Ovis aries: one gene and its partner. The protein of the gene in region 1 purifies or fractionates together with the protein of each later gene. This does not show direct contact. Links are inferred from orthologs where the notes say so. Each region holds a gene or a part of one and is shown on either strand. Other genes may lie near its edges.

The links. Proteins that work in one complex are often made in the same cells at the same time.
Region 2: the proteins of LARP1 (region 1) and PABPC4 purify together in Homo sapiens (affinity purification with mass spectrometry; 3 studies listed by BioGRID and IntAct, with this or other methods). This does not show direct contact. The link is inferred for Ovis aries from reciprocal best matches to the Homo sapiens genes LARP1 and PABPC4.

The regions. Positions count from the first base shown.
Region 1 is NC_056058.1:63,733,507-63,738,240, reverse strand, and holds the start of LARP1 (la-related protein 1), read right to left. Parts: upstream 2,948-4,734; 5' UTR 2,507-2,947; coding exon 2,068-2,506; intron 1-2,067. UniProt on the Homo sapiens protein: RNA-binding protein that regulates the translation of specific target mRNA species downstream of the mTORC1 complex, in function of growth signals and nutrient availability.
Region 2 is NC_056054.1:14,216,666-14,221,400, reverse strand, and holds the start of PABPC4 (polyadenylate-binding protein 4), read left to right. Parts: upstream 1-1,661; 5' UTR 1,662-2,545; coding exon 2,546-2,738; intron 2,739-4,735.

The DNA.
Region 1 (4,734 bases):
GGCGAGATGCCAGCCAAGCTGTCTTCTTCCCACGATCAATAACCCCGGTGACGCACCCTACCAAGGGCCCCTAGACTTGCACAAAATGCCAGCTCAGACATCCAACACCACCTGATGTCATGGCTGATTTAAAACCCACAAGGCAGGTTCACCATTAGCAGAGCAGCAGCAGCCAGAGTGAGTAGCCCCATTTAAACTTCTGAGGAGTGCTCTCTCCTCCGGATGATTATACCCTGAGTTTAAAGAGGGGGGAAGGACCAAAGAGTATCTTCAAATTGCTTTTCCTCCCTCCGTGGGTGGATCAGGAGAGATTTGCAAGAAAATGGAGATTTCAGCACTGCCCTTTGCATAAGAGGGTTCTGGAAGGAAAAGGGGGGGAAGGGGAGGAGGGCAAAAGGAAGAGAACACGGTTTGAGGTACTATTAGTAAAAGCCAAAGGTCCCCTCCCCCAAATGAAGCAATCTTATAAAGAAATAAAAATTACAACATGCCATTTTCAGAATTCGGTGTTCTGGTTTCCCTGGGACTACGAGGGATTCTATTCCCTTGAATGTGAAAGCATTAAGCTGCCCTTTCAACTTTCCCCATTTTGATGGTTTTTTTTTTTTTTTTTCATTTTGATGGTTTAAACCAGTCAGTCTCAAGCAGAAGGGGAGGAGTTCTGAAAAAGCCGTAGGGCTATGGCCACAGGCCATCGTAGTAGCTCCAATTGGGTTTTAATACCGGCTCACTGCAAGAAGATCCTGAACCCAAGAATCCAGCCCCAGGGTGTCTCTACGGGCCGGCAAAGGGAGCAGGGCGGGCGCGCCCCCCACCAAAGGCGAAGATCTATTTTCGGCAAAGGAAGGCCTGGCGGAGACTCCATATTCCTTACCCTCCTTCCCCCACCAACAAGGCTCTGCGGGGACTTCCCGCACACCCACCTCCCCCGAGAGGCCGGGTCCGAAAGGACCCAAAGAAGTCGAGGAGGGAGAGGGAGGGCGCGCCGCTCGGCGGTCACATGCCGCCAGCCGCGCGGGGAGGCACCACGTTGTCCCGGCTGCGGAGGAATGCCGGGAAGGGGGGACGCGCACTCACACCCGCGCACACGCACACTCCCGACCGCGCCGCCCGCACCCGCCTTCCGCCCCGAGCGCCGCGGCGACCGCCGAACGCCCAGGCCGAGCGGCCGCGAGCAGCCCGCGGGCCGGCGGCGCGGCGCATGGCGCCCAACTGTCACCCGCCCGTCCGGCCTGGCCCGGCCACTCCCTCCCCCGCCGCCACACGCCCCTCGAGTCGCTGCATGCCCCCTTACTCGCCTCACATTTCCCCTCACTGGACGCCCCGCACACTCGCCATCCGGCTCCCTCACAAGGCGGAAGGTCCCCAGGATCAGGCGAGGGAAAGCACCGAATTCAATGACACGTTGGGTTTCCTCTTCTCCCCATTCTCCCCGTAACCGACCCCTCGAGCCGTCGCCCACGGCCATTCTACCGCCTAACACCATCTACTCGAGAACAAACTTGTTAACTTTTAAATCCCGAATCTGTGTGGTCGGTATGCACTCATCGCCGGGCGTTTTGCTGCCTATGACATATACTCATTAAACATTTACAACACGGGGACGATAGCAACGCTACCAAAACGAGGAACACGGGGCGGGGGGGCGGAGGGGGCTTCCCGAGGAAGGTTCAGGCAAGAAACCGTCTCTCACACAGACACGCGGTGGGGGCGGGGGGGAGGGCCCCTTTCACCGAAACCAGCGCCCGCCCCTCTCCCCGCGAGATAGGCCGGGACCACGCCGTTGCCCACTAACCGCTGCGGCCCAGGCGGTGGCCGTAGCCTCCTGGAGGCCGGGCCCTGCGGCAGGGGCAGGTTCCCGAGTGTGCTGGGGTGGGGGGGGGGGGGGGGGGGGGGGGGGCAGGGCACGGCGACCTGAATTAGCCAGGATAATGGAAAAAAAAAAAAAAAACCCGAGTCACCACGACCCACTGCGGCGGACCCCCGGGCCCTGGAGGCCGCTGGGGGAGGGGACGCCTATGTCCCCGGAAGAGGCCCCCGGTCCCGGAATACCAAACGGAGACCCACCTGGAGGAGACTGTCCGTTCACGGTGGCCAGGACCGGTGGCAGCGCGTTCTTAGTCCACGGGTTCACCTTGGGCGGAGGGGCCTCCACGAAGTCTCGGCGCCCGGCGCCCGCGGCTCCAGCAGCTCCTCCGCCAGCGCCCGGCTCGCCGCCGCCGCCCTCCTCCCCGTCGCTGACGGCCAGGCCCTCGGCGCCGGGCGGCTGCGGCGGCCGCGGGCTCTCGCGCTCCAGCTGCCCGGTGCCTTCCCTGTGCTGCTTGGCGCAGGGCGGCCGAGGTCTTCGGGTGCCGCCGTCCGGCTCCCCGCCTCCGACGTCGTTCGCCCCCGGCTCGCCCTTGCCCTCGGGCGGCGGCAGCGGCTTCTTCCTCACCAGACCCCCGTGATCTTCGGCCTGCAAGAGCGGGGCGCCCCCCGGCAGCAGCGGCTCCACCTGAGTGGCCATCTGCGCGCCCGCCCCCCCGGAGAAGCCGGGCGCGCCCGAGGCTGCCTCCCCCGCCTCGAACTTGGCTCTCAGAGAGCCCGCGACGCCTTCCTCCGGGGCGCTGGGCCCCAGTCCCGGCGGAGAAGGGTCGGGGTTCACGCTAGGCACGGCCCCCCCTCCCGGTCGGATGCAGCCGCCGTAGATCCAAGGCCCGCTGGCGGGGCGGGGGGGGGGGGGGAGGAAGGCCCCCCACTCTGCGGTCCAGGCCTCCTCGGCGCGCGTCCCCCCCCGCCCGTTCCTCGCAAGGAGCCCCCACCCGGAGCCTGGCAGGCTTCTCGTCCCGTCCCTCCCTCCCCCCCGCCCCCGGGGCGGCCCGGGCTTCCCGGCACGGGGGCTGCAGCAATATGGACGGACGGGGGAGAGGCGCGGCGAGCCGAGCTGACCACGCGATCCGCGGCAGGCGGCGGGCGGGCGCGCGCCTCGCGACGCAGCGGGCAAGGGGAGGGGACGGCGCAACGGGGGCGCGCCCGCCGGGGCTGGCCCTGGGCGACGGGCGGGCGAAGGCGGCGGGAGCGCGCGCGCAGGGCCTCGCGGCCCCGCCCCTGGTCCCGCCCCTGGCCTCCGATTCCTCGGTGCACCTCCCCGGCTGGTGGGTGAGGGGTACTCAAACCGGACCGGGGCGAGCACGTGCCTGATACAATTCGGAAGGGGGGGCGGTCAGCAAGCCGGGTAGGAGAGACCGGGTGGTATAAAGAGGGGGAAGTGTCTTAAAGAGCCAGCGCGTGAGAGCGTCCGCAGGTGGAGCACATGGGACCGCGCCACGCGGCTGGCGGGGCCTGCTCCTGCTCTTTAGGCTGGGTGCGCCAGAATCTGGGGAAAGAGCCATTAATATCACCCTAAGCTTACAGGATGATGGGGTGGGGGTGCTGTCGCCTTACTTGCGTGCCATAGGCCTGGCCCCTCCAGGCCCCGCCTGGGTGACCTTGGGTGAGCCGGCCTCACCTCCGCGGACTGTGCTCGGCTCCTCCCAGGCAGCCCTGGCCAGGTCACTGTGCGGACACCTGGCCTAGAAGACGGGTCTTTAACCCTTGGGGGCATCGGGCGTCTCGGAAGTGAGCAGGAAATTACCAACAGCCCCCAACCCGGCCAAGCCCTGAAACTTAGTATTTATGGGCGAGAAATGTCTTTTTTTTTTTTTCCCCCTCCCTCAAATGGACTTCAGTTTTTATAAGAATTGCTTGGGCCAGAGACGAACCAACGCCGAATTGGAACTCTCGAGATCCGAGATTTTATCCTGACCCTGGTCCTGCCCCTTACCAACTCTGCATTAGTTGGGTCTCAGTTTCCCTATTATAAAATGAAGACAGTGGTTTCAAATTTTAGTGCACATTCAATTAAATATTTACTGTGGGGGGTTTCTAGGGACAAGGCTTGGAAAAAACAAGGCTTGCAAGGACCTCATGGAATTTGCATTCTGAGGTGGAGAAAGAGTAAAACAAACTTATGAACAAGAGCTTGTCTCATATCTATGAAGACAGTAGCTACTACCGCAGTAGGTCACTAGATCAGTTACTTTAGTTTGGATGATGAGGGAAAACCTTGAATGCAGATTCCAAAGTATTTGGAATCAGGTATGTCTGGGATTGGACCAAGAAACTACATGTTTAGCAAGAACCCTGTTGGTGCTTGTGGTCCCACACTTCACTTGGAGGAGTCCTGGCCTCTGGCTGGCTATGATATCACCTGCTCAAGACATAACAGCCAAGAGTGTTAGCCATCTCCAAAAGAATTAGAACACATGACCTGCTGGACAAAGAAGGCTTATTGAAAATCAGCCTTTTGAAACTGCCCCCAAGGGGTGAGGTTAGTTGTAGGGTGGTTGTAACCAGGACCACTGGGGAGAGGTGCTGGTGGGGACAACCAGACAATCTGATGTGTGGTCCCAACTCTTCCATAACGTGGTGTCCACACCTTGGCCAGCTCTCAGCACTTCACTGGAGCCCCTTCCCTGGTAGACAAATGAGGATAAATTATGCTTGACTTGCTTCTAACCTCTCAGCTTTTGTGAGGAGACAAGTGAGACAACTTCAGTCAAACAAAGTACTATGTAAATTATAGAGACTGAGGCCAGTGCTTCAAAAGAGATACAAAGAAGAAAATGATTAAATGATTAAAGGGATCTTGATGAATTAAAACAGATTCTTTGTTGTTACATTATATATAACCTTAATCAGAAGGTAAATTATTGT
Region 2 (4,735 bases), on another chromosome or scaffold:
TATCCGACTCTGTGACCTTGTGGAGTGTAGCCCACCAGGCTCCTCTGTCTATGGAATTCTCCAGTCATGAATACTGGAATGGGTTGCCATTCCCTTCCCCAGGGGATCTTCCCAACCTAGGGATTGAACACAGGTCTCTTGCATTGCAGGCAGATTCTTTACTGTCTGAGGCACCATGGAAGCCCATTAGTTTGCTTACAGATTGGAAATCTGAGTCAGAGATGTCAACTAGCTTGCTCAAGGTCACACAGGTAGTAAGTTCCCCACTAGATAGCTACACAAGGTTAGGGACTATGCAAGGTTTACTTATGGTATTCATTTGTTTAACAGATATTATTATTTAGTATGTGCCATGTAGGCACTGGCCCATGTTTCTGCTCTCATGAAGCATTCTTACAGTGGGAAACAAACCAAACAAGCAAACACATATGTGAATGACATGATTTCAGATAGTGAGCCTTGAAGATAAGAAGACAGAATGGTGTGCTGAGATGTACGGTGCTGGTAAGCTACTTTAAACGACTTGGTGGTCTAGGAAGGCTTCCCTCAGGAAGGCATCTATCTATAGATGGAGTGCTCCATAAATGTTTCTTGATTTAATACACTACCCCCCCCCAAAAAAAATACACTACCTCGAGTATAAATGTCAAGAGAGAGAGGGACTTCATCTGCCTTGTCCGCCATGGTATCCGCTAGCACCTTTATCTGGTGTTGACATAGAGCGAGCCCATTTCTTTGAGTAAATGTATAAATACTATTGGCTGCGCTTCCCTCGTGGCTCAGAGGTTAAAGTATCTGCCTCCAATGCGGGAGACCTGGGTTCGATCCCTGGGTCAGGAATATCCCCTGGAGAAGGAAATGGCAACCCACTCCAGTATTCTTGCCTGGAGAATCCCATGGATGGAGGAGCCTTGTAGGCTACAGTCCACGGGGTCGCAAAGAGTCGGACACGACTGAGCGACTTCACCTTCACAAATACTATTATCTCTTCATTCATTCATTTAATCAAACCAATGGTTTTCAATGAGAGCATTTGTGTGCCTTTTAGTAATGTCCAGTTTTCAGTGTCCTTAAATATCAACTAAATTTCCAGGAAGACCACAACCTTGTAAATAGAGGGATGATTGTATCTTGTTTTATTGAAGCTTTTCCAAAATTTGTTCATCTTTCCAGAGCATTTCATCACCCACGGGTACTACTGCAGGAGGAGCTGTCGTGTTCCCGATGCAAGGTCCCAGTAATCTAAAAGCTTCTTTATTTGGGCCCAATCATGTACATGGAGCACCTATTATGTAACTATAATTTACTTTATATCATCTTTATTTTACACTTCGGCAAGACACTGATTACAAACATGATGCGCGCGAGTGGGTGACATTATCCTTGCGTTCTAGTAGCAGATGAGCGGGTGGTTTACACTGCAGCCTTCCGTAGGGAAAGCGGCGCTTGGGTCCGGCCGAGGCCCTAGCGGAGCGGTCCTCCGAGCGCCAGGGGTCGCTGTGGCGCCGAGCGGCCGCGCCGGGACGCTCTCGTGTGGCCGCCCCGCCTCGGGCCCCAGGGCCGAGTGGGCGGGCACGACTGCGCCCAGGTCGCGAGGCGCCCTTCGACCAGCAGCGCCCGGGGCGGGCGGGTATAAATGGAGCGGTGGCTCCCCCGGCCGCCTCTCTCCGCCCCGGGTCGCCGCAGCCTCCACGACTTTCGGGCCTAGTAGCCTGAAGAAAAAAATAAAAGAAAAAAAAACCCGAAAACGCTTTAAAATTAAAAAAAAAAAAAGAGAGAAAGAAAAAGAAAAAAACGAATCCTCTTCGGAGAAACCGCGGGGAAGTCACTTTCGCACGCTTCCGGCCTGCCCGCCGCTCCGCACCTGGGCGTCTGTCGGTCCCCGTCCGTCGGTCCGGTGGTGAGCCGCCCGCGCGCCCGCGTCCACGCGCCGCCGCCCGGTTGCGCCGCGTGGCAGCCCCGCGCCCGCCGCCCTCGCCCCCCGCGCGCCGGCCTCCCCACACCACGTGTCCGCGCTGCCCTTCGCCGGCCCGGCGTGGGAGGCGGCTGCGCGCTCCGGCCGCCCGGGGCTTGCCGAGTCGGCACCGACAAATATTTGGTTTCCCTCTTCCCCGGGCTGCTGTAATCTTAAACCGCCGGGAGCCCGAGGCCTATATTTATAGAGAAACGCGCGTCCCGGAGGCCGCCGTGGGCACCGCTGGGTTGCCTCTGGAAATTTTTTTGTCATTCGGAGGGGAGTCCCCGTTTTAATTTTTTTCCTTTTTTTTGAAATTGGGAGCTTCAGACCAGGACAGCTGAAAAATCAAAAACTCCCAGGGAGGGCCATATTGTTTTTGAGAGCCTTTTGTCTGCGGTTTGGCAGTCTCGTCCGAGCCGTCCCCGAACTCCTCTCCGGCCCTCGGAGCCGACTGCCAGCTTCTCCGAGCTTCACTGCCACCTGTGAGCCGCGGCGTGGGCCACGGCTCCGAGCGGAGCCCCCTTTGTCCTGTGCGGTCCCTCTTAAGAAGTCCTCCTGGCGGGGCTCGGGGTGGTGGGGGCTGGGGAGATGAACGCTGCGGCCAGCAGCTACCCCATGGCCTCCCTGTACGTGGGTGACCTGCACTCGGACGTCACCGAGGCCATGCTGTACGAAAAGTTCAGTCCTGCGGGGCCTGTGCTGTCCATCCGGGTCTGCCGTGATATGATCACCCGCCGCTCCCTGGGTTATGCCTACGTCAACTTCCAGCAACCGGCTGACGGTGAGTACGAGCAGTGGCCACAAACCTGTGGGCTCCCAGGAGACCCTGGGGTCCTTCTCCAGGTGGGTCCCCACCCCCGGGGAGAGGCATGCGAGAGCGCACAGAAGCCTTAGTAGGGGACGGGATGCGGGGGTTGAGATCCTGGGATCCTGGCATCAGATGACCAGAGTTTCAGTCTTGCTTCCACCACTTTCTAACTGGGTGACCTTGGGCTAATCAGTGGTGGGAGGAGGGGGTGTTGGAGCCCAAGGAGGACCAGAAGGAAGTTGCTGTCATTCCGTGTGGGGGTAGCGGGGCTGCTCTGTTAAGAGAGCCTTAGGTGGCCAGGGGCTCCGGCCCCTCACAGGCTTGAGGAAAAGTTAGGATGATTGAAACACAATTTATTCCAAAATTTTACATGGCAAAACTGCTGTCCCCTCCCCTCACTTGACCCTAAGCTTAAAGAGTCTTTGGTTTTGTGCTGATGGATCTTTCAGGGGCAGGTAGGGAGCAGGGGAACAATTCTGTGTGTTGAGCTTGAGCCGGCACTTGTGTTAGCACAACCAGAGTGTGTGGTGCCAGGCCAGCTCCCTGGGCTTTGGAGCAGGTTGCGCAGGTAGTCAGGGAGGCGCCCCTTGGAAATCCACTAGGCTGTTGGGGATTATCACCTCACCTGTGGACAGTGCTTTACACTTGTCAAAAACCCTTTCACTTCATCTCATCTGAAAAAGATAGGACCTCCGAAGAGGAAAAGGAACTGCGAGAGGCTGGAGGCTAAGCTGGGACTGTGGGTGCCGTGCCCTGCAGGCCTGGCCTGAGTGGGGCCCAAAGAAACCTAATCGGGGGCTGCACGTGACTCCAGAACAGAAGGGGACAGCCGTAGAGACAGACCATTGCTGGGAGAACGAGCTGTCCTGTGGCAGAGGGTCTCGGGTCCCTACTTTTTCCCCCACTTGGTCCACTGTCCGTGAAACCCACAGAATGTCACTTGCCCAGGATGCAGCTGAGACCAGATAAGTGGACTTGAGAGACACGGCACTGCTCCGGTCAGCTCAGCGGGCTCTGGGTTTTTTCTGGCCACAGGGCACAAGGAAGTAGCTGAGTGTGGCCTTTTTAGGGGGGAGTAGTGGGCCCATTGGCTCTTGTCAGCCTCCTTGACTCTTCTGAACAAAAGTCCTGTCACTTAGAGATAGTAGCACAAGCCATTGGTTAGTGTGTCTGCCAACACATACCTCTGCAGGACCTCTCCCTGCTATAAATAAGTGCAGCCAGATTTGTCAGACTAAGCCGACTTGCCTTGTGCAGTGCTGTCTGGAAATAGACAGGAGCCGTGTTGAAACGGGCTTCTTCCTTGCTAATTCATGAAACACAGTTTGGGGTCGCAGGCTGTGGATCAGAGTCCTCAGAAGTGAGCCCTTCGGTCCTGGACATTTGCTGACTTGGACATGCCGTCTCCCCTTTCCCTGACCACCTTCCCTTATACTGAACGAATCTAGCTGAGAACAGTGGGAAAGGTGGTTGGAAGTACTGAAAAGGAGCTACTCTGCTGGCTGACTGGACAGATGAGCTTGTGGAGGGGAAGGCTTAGGGATCTTGTCCCTATTTTAAGTGAGATGGTGCCTTGAGGCAGGGGTAACACCCCCTGCCCCTGTCCTTTCCTGGAGGAGATTCTGGGTGATGTCAGTGCGTAAGTCAGGAAAAGTGGGTCTGAACCGGTTTACTGCCGGTAAAGAGAAGTGTTCTGCTGACAGATGTTGTATACCTGGGTTTGGTTGAGAAGTGAAGGGAGATCCCAGAGCACCAGGTTGAGAACTTGATTGGGCACTGGGACATCTGAAATTCCTGGAATTCCTCGGAACTCAGATGGAGGCTTGATAGCCTAGAAACCATTAGGTGCAGGGCCTGACTGCTCTGGCGGCTTAGGCGGCAAGGTGTTGAGGTTTCATCCTGCTCATTCTGATAATACAAAGGACATTTCCATGTGTGACCATCATTTTGATAATTAAGGTTTTTTGTCT